2 separate regions of the Mus musculus genome follow, and region 1 is reported to be linked to region 2. The links are microRNA targets in miRTarBase. Many come from high-throughput screens and were not tested one by one. Region 2 holds a microRNA gene; the other region holds the end of a gene's coding sequence.
What was found. Region 2 holds the annotated microRNA mmu-miR-195a-5p (UAGCAGCACAGAAAUAUUGGC, at 4,305-4,325, shown strand). A microRNA usually pairs through its seed, bases 2 to 8, with sites in the 3' UTR of a target mRNA and lowers its output. Matches are read on the target gene's strand: a 7mer-m8 pairs with bases 2 to 8, a 7mer-A1 pairs with bases 2 to 7 and ends in A, and an 8mer does both.

Region 1: miRTarBase lists Bcl2l2 as a target of mmu-miR-195a-5p. Seed matches in the 3' UTR shown: 7mer-m8 at 1,941-1,947, 7mer-m8 at 1,944-1,950, 7mer-m8 at 2,197-2,203 and 7mer-m8 at 2,721-2,727.

What each region holds. Positions count from the first base shown.
Region 1 is chr14:54,884,674-54,892,086 of GRCm38, forward strand. Bcl2l2 (BCL2-like 2) reads left to right here. Exons shown (of 4, transcript NM_007537.1): 3 at 1-140; 4 at 711-3,561. The coding sequence ends at 860. Among named protein-coding and RNA genes, the nearest start is that of Bcl2l2, 5.0 kb to the left of the region's middle.
Region 2 is chr11:70,230,758-70,238,170 of GRCm38, forward strand. It overlaps Mir195a (microRNA 195a), which reads left to right and starts at 4,285; the gene lies at 4,285-4,378. It overlaps 0610010K14Rik (RIKEN cDNA 0610010K14 gene), which reads right to left and starts at 7,157. Exons shown (of 6, transcript NM_145758.1): 1 at 7,027-7,157; 2 at 6,774-6,868; 3 at 6,120-6,221; 4 at 5,267-5,454; 5 at 4,939-5,043; 6 at 4,447-4,707. The coding sequence starts at 7,047. The coding sequence ends at 4,703. Mir497b (microRNA 497b) reads right to left here and starts at 4,059; the gene lies at 3,935-4,059. It overlaps Mir497 (microRNA 497), which reads left to right and starts at 3,960; the gene lies at 3,960-4,043. It also overlaps Rnasek.

The DNA of each region.
Region 1 (7,413 bases), not on the chromosome of region 2:
CATTCTTTGTCTTTGGGGCTGCCCTGTGTGCTGAGAGTGTCAACAAAGAAATGGAGCCTTTGGTGGGACAAGTGCAGGATTGGATGGTGGCCTACCTGGAGACACGTCTGGCTGACTGGATCCACAGCAGTGGGGGCTGGGTAAGAAGTTCTCAATTGCTGCTCTCCGCATCCCTCTACAAAGTTGGTCTTCATGGGAAAATAGGGCCTCTGATGGGAGGCTGGGGTTGTGCTGGGAAGGGCTGAGTTCCCTTATTTAAGTGGAATCAGACTGAGAGCATCAAGCTCACAGTACTCCAGGGCTACCATGTAGTAGTAGCTGGATGGGCTTCACGGTCCCAAGCAGAAGACTGAATATAGAGTTTTATAAACAGAGAACCTTCAGCGAATAATTGTGACCCCTGCGTACATAGTATGGGTGGTGAGGCCGGTCAGGGATGGGTCATGGCTAGGCAAGCCTTAGCAAAGGATGCCAGTTCTGAACGGAACTTTATTGCCATGGAAGGGATGGGGCTGACATCACGTAGACAGTGCAGAGGAGCCAGGAACGGGGTTCGGAGGGGCTTGTGTGCAGTAGAGCTTCGGCTGGAGCAGCTGGGGATGGGGGCAGTGCTCACAGTGGATGGAACTGGAACTCTTCCTTCCCTCGTCTCTCCACTATCCTTTCCTGATCTCCCTTTCTCCTTTCTCTACTTCCCTTCTCTCCCACAGGCGGAGTTCACAGCTCTATACGGGGACGGGGCCCTGGAGGAGGCACGGCGTCTGCGGGAGGGGAACTGGGCATCAGTGAGGACAGTGCTGACGGGGGCCGTGGCACTGGGGGCCCTGGTAACTGTAGGGGCCTTTTTTGCTAGCAAGTGAGAAAGTCTAGGGCCAGGTGGGGCTAGGTGTGGCTAGGGGCCAGGAGAGCTGGAACAATAGCGAATGCCCTTGGAAGAAACTGGATGGTCACGGAACAGAGAAAGGCAGGGGAAGGTAGTGTGTGTGGGAGCCCAGCATGCCAGGCAGGTGGCAGGGAGAATGAGTTGGAAACATTAAGGAATGTTTCAAGGCCAAGAACCCAGAGAGTGGAGTCATCCCACGGCTTGGGGGGTGGGGGTGGGGAGGTGGGAGGAATCATGCCCATATCGCGGGCACACAACTACCCGGAACATGGCTTGTAGCTCCAAGGACGGTGAGCTTACTTCAAAGATCTGTGTCTCGACTAGATGAATGGGATTTAGGGAGCCTAGAATTCACTTCCCTTTGGGATGGAAGCTTGGTGATCAGGTGACTGGGTGAAATGGCTGTGGCTGTGGGCTGCATGGGCACACCTGTGCATGTATGTGCACATGCAAGCATGCTCATGTGCATGCTGGGCTGTCTGTCGAATCTGGTGGTGGGGTACTTAGAGAAAACATTCCTTCTTGCTATGGCAAGAACAAGGGCCAGTTCACTGCCCTTCTCCTCTCTGCCCCTTCCCTTGACCTTACGCCTCCAGGCTGAGGGAGGAACACTGTATCTAGACTAGGGCTCTGGTGCTGCCGAGAGTTGTTGGCAGGGCTTTGGAGAGAAGAGTTCTGCAGCTGGCCTTGTTCTTCATCATCCCCCTGTTGTGTGCATCTGTGCACCTGGGCTGAAAAAGGGTAAGGCTGTGGAGCCTGGGTGGGTAGAAGCTTTGGTAGTTGGACTTGCCTGTCACCTTCCCCTCCAACGGTGGCACAATGGTGCCTAAAGTGTTGCCTGTTTCTAGGGTCTCTCTATCCAGCTGAGTCTAAATTGGGGATCTAGTTTTCCTTTAGAAGATACGGGCATAAATGCTGATCTACAATTCAGTTTAGTTCCTGAACTGTCTCAGTGAGACTGCGGATACCTTGAGAGGACCATTCCAGCTCTGAGTCCCTTGGGAGTGATGGGGACAGGTACTCCTTGACTGGCCTGTTCTGGGTGGTGGGTTTTTGGTGCTGCTGCTCTATCAGGGGCCAGGGATATGGGTTCTAGAGTACCTGCCATGACCTAACGCGTTTTCTTTTGAAGCCATGCTCTTTGCATAGGTTGTCAACACTCGAGTCTCTGAAGATGGTCACATTAGAACTCACAGTCCAGTCCCCTAGAACAAATCCAGACTCTAGCCTTTTCTTTTGAGGGAGGAAATGATTCACTCCAAATGCATGCCCTGAGCCAGACCTCACTGCTGCACTTCCCAAGGTGCTAACATTGCTGCTCTTTAATGCTGACTTCGTTCCCAGTGCTCTAGAACCCTACCTGCCTCTCCTGAGCACTGACCAGCTTGGCTAGACCACAGCTGACCCACCTCTTCACTTGGTCCTAGAATGTGGCATCATATCGTGCTTGCTAGAATGTGGGACCAAATTGGCCTCAGGTGTTTTAGTCCAGACTTTGGCTTTTGAGAGAAGGTTGCACTTTTTCATAGTGTCTATGGGGGATGTGGGAGGCTGCATGTGCCAGTTGGTCTGTTTTGAGGGTGATGATCTAAGAGACTCGGAGCTGTCTGTGACAAGCAGTCAGAGTGGGAGGCTCTGACTTGCTCAGGACAAACTAGGCCAGTGGTTTTCAAACTGCTTGGCAGAGCCCCGAAGTGTCCTAGGGGTTGCCTCAGGAGTCCTTAGGGAGATGAGGGAGTGGAGGGCTGGGCAGTTTGCCCTCAAACAGAACAGCTCCCCCTTGTAGCTGTCTTATGTATCGGGGTTCAGGGTAAGATTTTATTTGTGGTAAGGGCTTTGCTGCTGAAAAAAGTTAGAAAACCACTGACTAGACCATCAGCTCCATCTGGAGCCTGTGCTCCTCCACGTCCAGGGAAGTCTCTGCTCTACCCTTCCCATGGGACACCTACCTAAGGTAGCATTCCTGGGGCCCTTTAGCAAACAGGAGCAGCAGGAACCAGGGTCAGGTTACCAACATGCTCTGCTAGCAGACCTTCAGCCAGGTGGGAGGAGAGGCTGTGCTAGGACAGGCTAAAGGGTTGGTCTTGGTCTGGATTCTCAGAAGCTTAGATGGGACCACAGTGGAGAGTTGTGACCTGTTCTGCCCTTCGTTTTAAGGGCCAGTGGAAACCCAGAGACTCTTCTGTCAGGGAAAACCAGGGACTGTCTTTTAGAGCCATATAGTTCCTTGGGATTAGCTCTTGGCCAAGAAGGCTGAGTATGGCTCCCAACTTTTAAATCCATTTCATTTTTTTTAAATGAGGGAAATGGATATAATTTTTCAGATACTAAGTAGCTGGAGAGGATGTTCTTGCTCTCCAAAGCCCAAAGGGACAAATAGGGACTTTGCTTAGGCCAAGGCAAGAGCGCAAGTGGGCACTCAGTCCTGCAGTTACCAGTCCTACTCCCCACTTACACTAGGGCATACATATACTATTTTACTTTTTTAAATCATAAACGGCAGGAGAACAGATTTGGTTAGTTTAGAAGAAAAGAAAAAGCTCTATAAATATAAATATATATTCCTGTATTTTTATTTAATAATTTATAAATGCCAAGTTCATTTGACTTTTATTTTTGTGTAATATGTAATGGTCGTATTAAAAATAAATAAATAAAGCCCAGAAATTTAATGAGAAGTACTGAACAGGGTTTTGTGACTTCTATACTGTACATCCTGGGTTGTAGAACTCTCCCTAAGCCAGTCATTTCTTGTGGCCATGACCTTGCTAAGGGGAATAACTGGAGTTATAGGGATTTGGGAAATAAAGTATTGAGGTTAAAAAAAAAAAAAGAAAAAAGAAAAAAGGAAAAGAAAACCACGCCCACCCCATCCCTGGCCAAATACCCAAACCTACAAATTCTATACCAACCCCAGCCTCCAGAAACTGTAGGCACATGTGGTACATCTAGAGCCCCTACCCACAACCACCACCTCCTCAAATATCCTGGTTTGGTGTGGTGGCAAACAACTGCAATCCCAGTAGTCAGGTAGAGACAGGAAGGTGGGCCACCCAGGTCTACAGGGAGGTCAAGGCCAGCTAAGGCTTCCTGAGACCTTGCCTCTAAACAGATGGATAGAAAGCAAAAGAGTAATCAATGCATGCAGGTTGTTCTTAAGTAATATTCTCAAATACAAAAGCTAGGCTGTGAACTCAGCTGTGAGTTTCTTGGCTGCCAAAGCAACCTGGAAAACAGTGAGGTTCAAAGCTGTCCAGTTACTCAGATGGCAGAGTTTTCTGCAAAGATACTTAGTGACAGAATTGCAGGCAAATAGAATAGTTTATATCTCTGTCCTATTAGCAATACCAGGTGGGGATCCAGAAGGCCTTAGGTTTGTCTATCAGCCTCATTATAATTTAGGCTAATGTGTTATTTTATAATGGTCTGATTACTAAGTTTTAGACTGTCCAGAGGGACAGATGACTGTTTTCTTTATATAGTTCTGTGTAAATGCAACTCATCCAGATGGCACTTTTAATAAAGTTGGGCAACACTTAGTTATAATTTCTGACCATTGTGGGGGTAGAGAGGTTGGGTTGGGGTAGTCCTTGCTCATGCTATAAGTCTCTTGCACTTCAGGAGCAAGGACTTTAAGTGTAGATCTGGCTGGGACTACATAGAGTCAGCTCCAAGCCACCGGGCTGCAAGGTAAGACTCATTGTCAGGAGAAAGAACAAAACCCAAACCCTACAGTTTCTTTCAATTGGGTAGATCATTGATATTCTTTATCAAGTTTTTGTTCGCGTTTTCTCTCATTTTTTTGTAGCTTGTAGCCCAGTCTGGCCTCAGACTCAGTGTTGAGATTCCAGGTGTGTGCCACCAGGTCTGGCTGAATTCTTTGAAAATTAAAAAAAAATCCTTAAATGTGGTTACGGGGAATAACCATAAAATAATAATATATAACTAATCGATAACCTATAAATATATCCCAAAGCTGGATGTGGTGCTGCCAGTTTATAATTCTAGCTTTTGGGAAATAAGAGGCAGGATCAGTGCCACTGTGGCTTATATAAGACCCTGTTCAACACACACACACACACACACACACACACACACACACACACACACACACACACCAGAAATTTTGACCAGAAAGCATAATATAATGGTTGCTCTTCATTCATCATCTCTAGAGAAAAATGATCAAATATTTCCTGTGTATTTAACCCAGTTCTAGGCTCACAGGCAAAGAGAATGGGAAGACATATCTCAGCTCACATGTTGCTCTTACACTCCAGTAGGGGGTCAAACAATAAATAAATCTCATAACTATGTTAGAAGGTAGTAAATACTATGAGGAAAGATGCCTGGTGACACACATCTTTCATCGTAGTGTTAGGGAGGCAGCTGCTAGGCAGCTCTGCAAGTTCAAGACCAGCCTGGCCTACGTGTGAGACCCTGTTTAAAGATACTATTTTTAAATAACAGGATGAAGGATAGAAATATGTAGATTCTCTAATTTTAAATCAAATGATCAGGGAAATCCTCATGTCTAAGATGACAAGTAAAACTACGAATTACGGTATAACTGAAGGTATCTACTAGCACTTAAACATTTTTATATTTTCCTATAAAACTTATATAGGTTAGAAAATAGAATGTGATAGTGTGAAGTCTTCAGCAAGAGCAGACAAAGATCCCATTTGTGGTTTTGTCTGATGGGCAGGTTTTGTTCTTTCTGCTGTCAGTATTTTCTGACTGGGGTGGGGGATAATAAATATAAGCAAATCTGATAGAGCAACTGAAAGCAAGTTTTTTAGATAAAAAGTTGTTAAAAACATAACCAGTCAAGCTTGGTGATGGGCATATATACTTGCAATCTCAACATTCAAGGGATGGGAGGGGTCACTGAAAGTTGGAGGTTGATCTGTCTACATAATGAGTTGTAAGCCAGCCAGGGCTACTTAGACAGACCCTTTATCAAAAGATTAGCCACTCAGTGGGCTGTCGAGATGACTCAGTGGGTTACAGTCCTTGCCATCATGCCTGGCAATCCAAGTTCAGTCTTGGACAATGGAAAGGGTATACTGAGTCTGGCAGCTCACATGAGTGCCATGACATGTGCTTCCTTCAAATAAAAAGTTGAAAAAGAGAATGAAACAGCCTATCAGTTGAGCTAGAGAAATGGCTGTGGCTAAGAGCACTTGCTGCTTAACTCAGAGGAGGTCAGATCCTAGGATCAGTGCCATGTAGTTCAAACCTCCAGCTCCAGGAGATGATAAACACCTCTGTTTTCTGTGGGCACCAGAACACAGACCCATACAGAAATAATATGTTTTAAAAGTTATCCAGTCAAAGCTGAAATGAAGCAGCCTGGTAGAAGCCCTTTCACATTTAAATACTACCTCACTTCTGTACAAGGTCTGAGCTAGGAAGTTACTGCAAGCTAGGATGGACCACATCAGAAGATACCAGGATCTTTTCTAAAAGAGACTCGAAAGGCTGGACAGATAGCTCAGCATTATGAGTGCTTACTGCTCTTACAGAGGACCTGGTTCACATCTCAGCACCCATAGAACAGCTCACAGCTACCTGTACTCCAGTTCCCTGGAATCTGATACCCTTTGGCTTCTGTGGGCGCCTCCATGTCAGTGCTACACATAAATTCACACAAACACACATATACATACATAGAAAAGTAGTAAGTCTTTCAAAATAGCATAAGGCTTCAAGTCATATGTCATCACTGACCAGTGAAATATAATGCAAGTCACAAAAAGAGTTTTACATTTTTCTAGGGGCCTCATTAAAAATTGAGAGAGCCTTTAATCCTAGCATTTGGAGGTCAGAAGCCATAGGATCTTACTCTGTAGCTATGTAGCTCACTATGTCCTGAAACACACTATGTAGATAAGGCTGACCTTGAACTCAACCTGTCTCTGGGCCCAGCCCCCCCCCCGTTTTTTTTTTTTTTTTTTTTTTTGAGACAGGGTCTCATGTAGCCCAGGCTAGCCTCAGCTTTCCTATATAAGTGAGGCTGGCCTCGAACTCCTGATGCTTCTGCTTCCCCACCCCCCAAGTGTTAGGAATTCAGGAGTCTGTTATGTTATCACACCTAGCTCTGTGGGATATTTTGTTTTTTAAAGATTTTAAAAATGTATACGTGTGTGGGAGAGAGTATGTGCATGTGTGTTAGTACCTGTGGAGGCCAGAAGGTGTTGGATTCGATAGAGCTGAAGTTACGGGTGGAGTGAGCATGTAGGTGCAGAGAGCTGAACTCAGCTCCTCTGTAAGAATATCAAGAGCTGTGGCTTTTGAGACAAGGTTTCTCTGTGGCCTGGCTGTCCTGAAACCCAACCTATAGACCAGCTGGCCTCAAACTCACAGAGATCCACTTGCCTCTGCCTCCCAGTGCTGGGATTAAAGGCGTGTGACTCTAGTTACTCACTGTGCAGACTGGCCTGGGACTCCTGGTTGTTTTTCTGCTTCAGCTTCTCAGGTGCTAAGATTACACATGTGTATCACAATGCTGAGAGGAAAATAATAAC
Region 2 (7,413 bases):
GTTTCCTCTGCACCTCTGTCTCTTTGTGGGGCAGTAGATCGAAGACAGAAGAGTTAGGGTCTCCGCAGGAAATTCAGGCTAGAACTCTTATGGAAGGCTTTGGAATGAACATAGTGGTTAGGATGAGATGGGGTCTTGAGCCTGGGAACACAGTTGTTTTGTTTTCTAATTTGATAGACCCTTCTACCCAGATGTTTGTAGACAGGAATTTTCAATGAACATTAATATGAGCATTGGTCGGAGTAAACAGAGAGGACAGAGGAGAAAGGGCAGGAGGAACCTGGTAGCTAAGTACTTCATTCAGAAGCTAGGCAGGGACCACACCCTTAGATTTTGTTTGGGGAGCCTTGGGATAGAAGGACAAGTTTCCTTTGAAGAAGAGGGGCAGAGCTGAACCCAGGTACAAAGCAGGAGCTCTTTGAGTTTGGGGTTTGGAGCATAGCAGTTGTGCAAGAATGGACCAGCATATCTAGGCCTGAGGCCTCTCCCTTCTGTTCTTGGGGGTGGAGTACATTTTGTTTGTTTTATTGGTTTTGATTTTTTTTTTTTTTAAGCAAACGTAGCAAACAAAACTGCAAACCAACTGGGGGTTGGGGATAGCTAGGGACCCTGGATGACGATGTGGCTTTACTTTGTGAAGATTATTTGGTCTCTATCCAATTTTCATCTCCAAATTTGAGGTGAAAACATTAAGGGCTTTGATGTCAGGACAGAGTTAGCTATTCTGAGTTTTGGGGTGTCACTTGCCATAGAAGTTATTGTAGTCAATAAGGCCTGTTTTTAGTCTCGACAGCTGATAGCAAATTGGAGGTGCGGGGCTGGTTTTAAAGATGTCTTAGTTCGGGGGTTTGGAGGGATTTGATGCTCCCATGTGAGACTGTCCATCTCTAATTTCTGGTCTACTGGGGGAGCATGAGTACGCAACTAATTTGGGGGACATAGTCTCTTTCCAAGTGCTGTTTCAAGGTTTGGATGAGATTGTTTGGGGACATAAAGGTCAACTTGGGGCTTTTTAGAGAGCCCAGTTACATTGAGTTGGTGGCAGAGCCAGAAGCTAGGAGAGGATCTGAAGGCTTTCTGTAGCTGAGAGCTTGATTGATGGGGGGGCAAAGTTTTGTATTTGAATCTTGTGGAAACTCATTTTGAGGGTTGGATATTCCTGTGAACATGTTTATGTGTGAAACTCCTCCACAGGAGAGAATTGAGAAGCCCCCCCAGGGTAGAAGGATAGTTTGGGGGGTATCCAGTTTCTGGGTGTTTTGCCACTGGCCACATTTGGTGAAGCTGAGAGGTGGGTCATAAATTGAAATTGATTTGGAGGTTCACCTATTCTAAAGCACACTTCTGACTTAGGTTATCTTTTGCTGATAGTCCCCTGGCACCCCAGATTGTAAAAAAAATTAGTGAACCCCCAAATAAGGCCAGAATTTGAAGGGTGAAGCCTGGAAAAAGCAGTGTGGTCCATCATAGACTCACTGGAATATGACCTGTTGTGCTAAGGGGGGAAAGGTGGCTTCATACTCTGAACCCCGATTTCTTATGGAAGAAAAAATCCGTTTGGAGGAGATGGGGTGTCTCTTGTTAAAGTGGGTACTTTCTGACTAACAGTGCTGCTGAAACTGGCAAGGAAAGGCTGTGATGGTCTACAAGGGGGGGGTGAATCTTGCACCCTGATATTTTAAGATAAGAGCCCCAAAGAGAAAGCAGACAGAGGATTGGGAATGAGGGTGAACTGAGAGGCGGGGGAGGGGTTTCCAACGGCAGCAGGGGCTAGAGGGTAAGCCAGGCCAGATATTCCCGCCTAGGTCCCTGCTCTCTTCGGCTCTCCTCCCCTCTCTCCCTCCCACCGCCCACCCCCCCAACTCAAGGAAAAAAAAACTGCCTGTGCAATAGCAATGGCAGATTCCAGTCCTCCAGGCTTTCCTAAACCACCACCGAGACCAGCCAGGGGGGAGGGGAGGGGAGGGGAGGATCGGGCTTTCCTGCTTCCTTGAGACAGGGGCAATGAGCTTGACCTCTTGGCCCCTAGCCTTCTAAAGAGTGTCCCCCGGTCTGGAAACCAGGTGTCCTGGACCCTAGCCCCCAAGCGGGGGGGCCTGGAGAAACGGGGAGGAGGAAGGAGGGAGTGACTTCCAAAATTGGCATCGGGACAGAGCAGGGCTGGCGGGAGGCAGGAGAAAGACAGAATTTTCCTGAAAAAACGGGGGTATCTAAGGACCCCAAATTTGGGTAGCTAGTTCAGGACCATCTTCCCAACATCCTAGATTTTTTTGGGATTTTTTGGGGGCCCCGGGATCCCTCTAGATGGGGTGAGGAATGTAGTGTTGGGGGAATCTGACTGGGGCAATGCAGCTGCCTCTCCCGCCGAGTTGGAGACGGATGGGCTGGGACGGGTTTTGGGGGGGTGTCCCCAGTTCTGACTGGGAGTGGAGGAACCCCTCCAGAGCTCTCTTGTGGGGGTCCCCCACCCCAGGGCACTCCCCAGTCCTTGAGCCAGCTGAGAGGAAGGAGGCCAGCGATGCGACTGGGGCGTCTCTTTTCTCCTGCACCCCAAATGTGAGGGATGCACCCCAAAATTTGCTCCTTTCAAAATAGGGGACCAGGATCTCAGGGGAGAGTAGCTGAGGTAAGTGGGGAGGAAAGTGTCCCCTGTTTTCAGGAGAGACGTGGCGGTTGGGGGGGAGGTTTGGAGGTGCGTGCTGGGGTGGGGTTGCGCCTTGTAACTCTTGAAATTGGGGGGATGACCAGAGAAGCTTTCTCTTGTACCCCTAAGACGTAGCACCTCATACTGAAACCAAAGCTTGAGACTTGAGAGCCCCCAATATTCCTACAGACATTAGGACAGTGTTTGCTTTTTTTTTTTTTTAGCCCCACAAAAGCTTTGCTGGGATGGGAGCTGGGGGACAGCAGTTGTTTCTGGGGGTCCAGGAGGGTGCAAGGAGCAGGAGGCGTTGGCAGGGCTTGATATAGGTGATCTGGTAGTCTTGGAGAGGGTCTGGCATACTAGGGGGGCCTAAAAAGATTGCTTCACACACCATCTTAAATCTTTTGATTGCTAAGAGTTTTGGGGGGGTGTGTCGGAAGCCTGGTGGTGCTAAAAGGTGGGATGAGATATGGGAGGTTAATATCTAGGGTTTACAGAGTTTTGTTTTGTTTTGAAATTTCCAGAAGAAACTTTTGCCTTCTGGGAGGTTCTTTTTAAAATCAAGTCTTGGACAGGAGGAAAGGGCTATGGGAAGGCCTAGGGTTGGGGGTGGGGAAAAGGCATGTTTGTCTTTGCTTAAACGTGGCTCTCAGGGGTGGGCCTGCTTGCCTGGGCCTGGTGAATGGGCTAATGAGTGTTGCTGTGTGGGTGGGGCGTGGGTCTTGGGGGACCATGGGGAATGGAAGCAGCACTTGGGGTTGAATACTTTGCCCTCTGGTCCAGATGAGCCTCTTCCTGGGCTCTGCTGCATCCCTTTCTCCCTGGCCTCCATTTCCTGCCTTTGGCCTCCATCTTGTGGCAGGCCCAGGGCCCAGGGCGACTTCCGGCCCCCCTCTCTCAACCGTGTTCCAGCCCCACCACCTCTGGACTGCCAACTCCCAACCCTGCTGTCCTTGGCCCTGTGTCTTCCAGCATTTCTCTTGGGTTCTGACCTAGGGAGGGAGGAATGGACACAGGAAACCTTAGGTCCCTGCCTTTGTGGGAGGCAGTTTGTTGGTCTTCCCCAGTCATCCCGTTTCCTAAGGATCCCCAGAGCTGAATTCCTACAGAGGTGAAGAATGCTCCAAGCTTATCACATTGGACTCATCTGCCAGGGCCCTATCCTTTGCCTGCTAAACTACTTTTGCTGGTTCCTGATTGTTCCCCCCCCCCAGCTTTTTTGGGGGGCCATGTTTGCCATTCACACCTCTGTCTCACTCTAGGTGGGGGTCTTCACGGCACTGCCTGTGCTGTCTTCCTCTCGACCCACCCCAGTCCTGCCCCCGCCCCAGCAGCACACTGTGGTTTGTACGGCACTGTGGCCACGTCCAAACCACACTGTGGTGTTAGAGCGAGGGTATGGGAGGCACCGATGAGCCTGGCCCTGGGAGGCCACCCTGGAGAAGCAACACACACACACACACACACACACACACACACACACACACACCGTCTAGGGTATTGTGATGAAGTTCTTGCAAGGTGGGACAGGAGACACTGGAAAGAGCCCCTCTGCAACCCCCAGGTTGTCTGATACCAGTTATCAGGAACCCTGGTAATGAGTTCTGGCCCCACAGAGCAAAGTAGAGTCTTTGTTGCCCACACCCAACTCTCCTGGCTCTAGCAGCACAGAAATATTGGCATGGGGAAGTGAGTCTGCCAATATTGGCTGTGCTGCTCCAGGCAGGGTGGTGAGAGCTACTGAGAAGGGGCCAAGCCCCGAGGGCGAAGCAGAGGAGAGGGAACGGCAGCTGGCAGCACCATGTTGAGAGAATCTTTTTTAATTATAATTTTCTGTATAAAAATGTCCATCACACAGAAGTCAAAGGGCGAGGGCACATGGTTATCAGGAACGAGGTGGATGGCTCCAGCAGCCCTCTGACCCTCTCTCAGGCAGTCCTTGCTTAGAGTCCCAGGTGATCCACAGGTCCAGGGTGAACAATGAGGGTCAGAGGTGGAAGGCTCAGCAGGAGAGGAGAGGAGCATCAGCGGAGGTGGTGAGGAGGCCAGAGTCCAGGGTCAGGCTGTCTGGAACAGGAAGGAAAACGGACAGAGATGGAGCAAGCGTGGAGGATTTTTCCAAGAAAACCCTCACCTCCTCAAACGCCGTATTACTAACTGACCCATTCCCCTGCACTGAATCTTCCTTCTGAGGCCCCTGCACCAGAAAGGGGTTTTCTGTGGGGACCCTCCCCTACCATCCAGGTGAGTATGTTCCCCACCCCCAGCCAGCGTGGGAGGAGGAGGACTCCTACCCTGGTCAAAGTTGAGTTTCTTGGCTGGAGGAGTTTCTCCTAGCCCTTCGACATCCACCAGGTCACTGTTGGCGTCGGAGTCGTTCAGAGCACTGAGTGTCACATCTGGGAGGGGGCATAGGCTAAGTTCTAGGTTTCCCTGACTGCTGTCTTTCCCTCCTCCCAGTCTGCCAAAGCTTCATGCTCTACACATCCCTCTACCCACTCTGGAATCACCAGCGTACAGAAGAGAAGCGTCTCTCCTTCTTTGACCCAGGCCCAATTCTCTTATTGAATCTCAGATAGGACCTTTAACCCCTACCCTAGGCAGCAACTCCACAGCCCTCACCAGCCTTCTGTTTCTTTATGGGAGGAACCCCAGCTTCAGGGACACTGGAGCTGCTGGGTGGAGGGGCGTTTGGAGGTGAGAGGACACCGGACGTCATCTTCTTGGGTCCTTTCTTGGGTGACTCAGCTGGAAGGGGGATGCCGGAGTCTTCATACACTTTTCGCTTCACAGTGGTCTTTATCTGAGCCCTGAAGATGAGAGAGAGCAGATTAGGGTGTCATCAGAGAAGCCGAGGGAAGAGGGGAGGGGAGGGAATAATGGGCCACTCTGAAGGAATTCTAGGAGTTCCTTTGTAGATATCCAGGTCAAGGCCCCAGTTCATGTGTAATAAGGGTCCTCCCCCCCCCCCCCACGTTCAGAACTTTTGCATCCACTTAGGGCTAATAGATTAAGATGAATGGAGTCCCTGAACTGAGTGGCCAGAAAGGCCCTTTTCATGATCCTCTGGGAGAGATGCATGGTTTTGTAGGACCACCAGGTATGTTGTGGTGACATAAAGGTAGACTGAGACTGTCATAGAACCTGACCAACTAATTAGTTCAGAATGCATCCCCTGGACATGCCAGTTTCAAAGGATTTACATAAATAGCTAGGGAACTCTTATCATCAAACACAACCACTGAGTATCTGGGCACCATGAAAATAAAGTTCTCTGCAGGCCCTAGTGACCACTGCATTTCCTGATCTTCCGACCAACTGCCACAGTGACAGTCTCTCAGTCTTCAAGGAAATGCTAACAAAACTAGGAACAAAGTAGGAAAGATGCTGAGCTGGGAGTTCTGAGAGAGAACAATGGGTCAGGAGGAAGAAAGTTGCCCACCCTCCCCTTTCTCTGCCAGCCACCCTCCCTCACACTGTCCGTTCCTTGATGACACAGCTGATGTGATTAAGATCGTCCCCAAAGCGCTTCACAGCAGCCCTCAGCATCTCTATCTCCGTCTCCGTCCACTTGGCACTGTCGGAAGGGGAGAAGGGTGATAACAAAAGTGGAAGAGGGATGTGTGGAACCAGCCCACAGGCTATTCCGTCCACAGCCAGCAGCCTCTTCCCCCTAGTCTCTAGGGGCACCTTTCAAAGATTCATAAAAAGGACCTCCTTTTAAAAAAAAAAAAGCCCTGGGGACAAATCGCTGGCCACATGAAATTACATCCAGGGCCACTTGAAAACATCACTTCATCATGTAACAGCTTCCATAAACAACCCAACGGAAACCAATGAAACAAGTAGGGGCCTTACAAACACAACCCTTGAAAGATGTGTGGCAGCAGTTTGAGGGAGTCCACAGGGCTTGGGGTAGGTGGCAGACATTCTGTCGGTTTGCAGTGGAGGGCTGTGGCCTCGGTAGTCTCTTTACCTGTCATCCACTAATTCAACAATTACCACCTACACTGAGCTGGGCCAGGCACAGGGGAATTACTCTATCTCCCTGCTCTAGAGAGGGTCGTGTCTGTGACTTGAGTCCAAGCGTCTGATCTCGGAGTCCAGGTCCTAGGCTGGTCTCACGTACCCGGCAGGGGAAGAGTCCGAGACTGGATGCAGCTGCATCGTCAACTCCCCGAGCTTCGTGAAGGCGGCGCCGGCCGCGGAGAAGATCTCTCCAACCTGGGGGCGGAGCAGCATTACGGGGGGCCGGCAGCGCGCCGTCCCACCCCAGCCTCGGATCCGCCCGCCCCCCGCCCAGCGCGCACCAGCCGGGAGCCAGGCAGGGGGCCCACCCTCCCGTGGCCGCCAGGGAGCGCAGTCCGCGAGGGAGGTCGAACCTTGGTGGACGCTGACGTCATGGCCCCGCGCACCTCCTCACGGAGACGCTCCGCCGCCACCACCACCACGCGAGCTGGAAACCACGGAGAGCCCGGCAGCCGGCCGCTCGGGCTCCCGCGCAGGAAGTCCCGCCCTCCCTGCAGCTGATTGGCCGAGACCCGACCTCTCCCCAGTCACTCAAGGGGCCTCGCCGCGCGGAGGAAGACGAGGTGGAAGACGTTGCTTCACTTCCGGCTAGCTTCATTCCACTTCCGTCGGAGGGTCCGGACTCCTCGATGAGGCCGGTCTCAGCCCCTTCCAGCCCGGGCCCGCCCCTCCCTGAAAGCACAGACAGCAAGCTTAGGGGGAACCGCTTCTTTTTATTGTAGTTCAGAACGGGGCGCGGT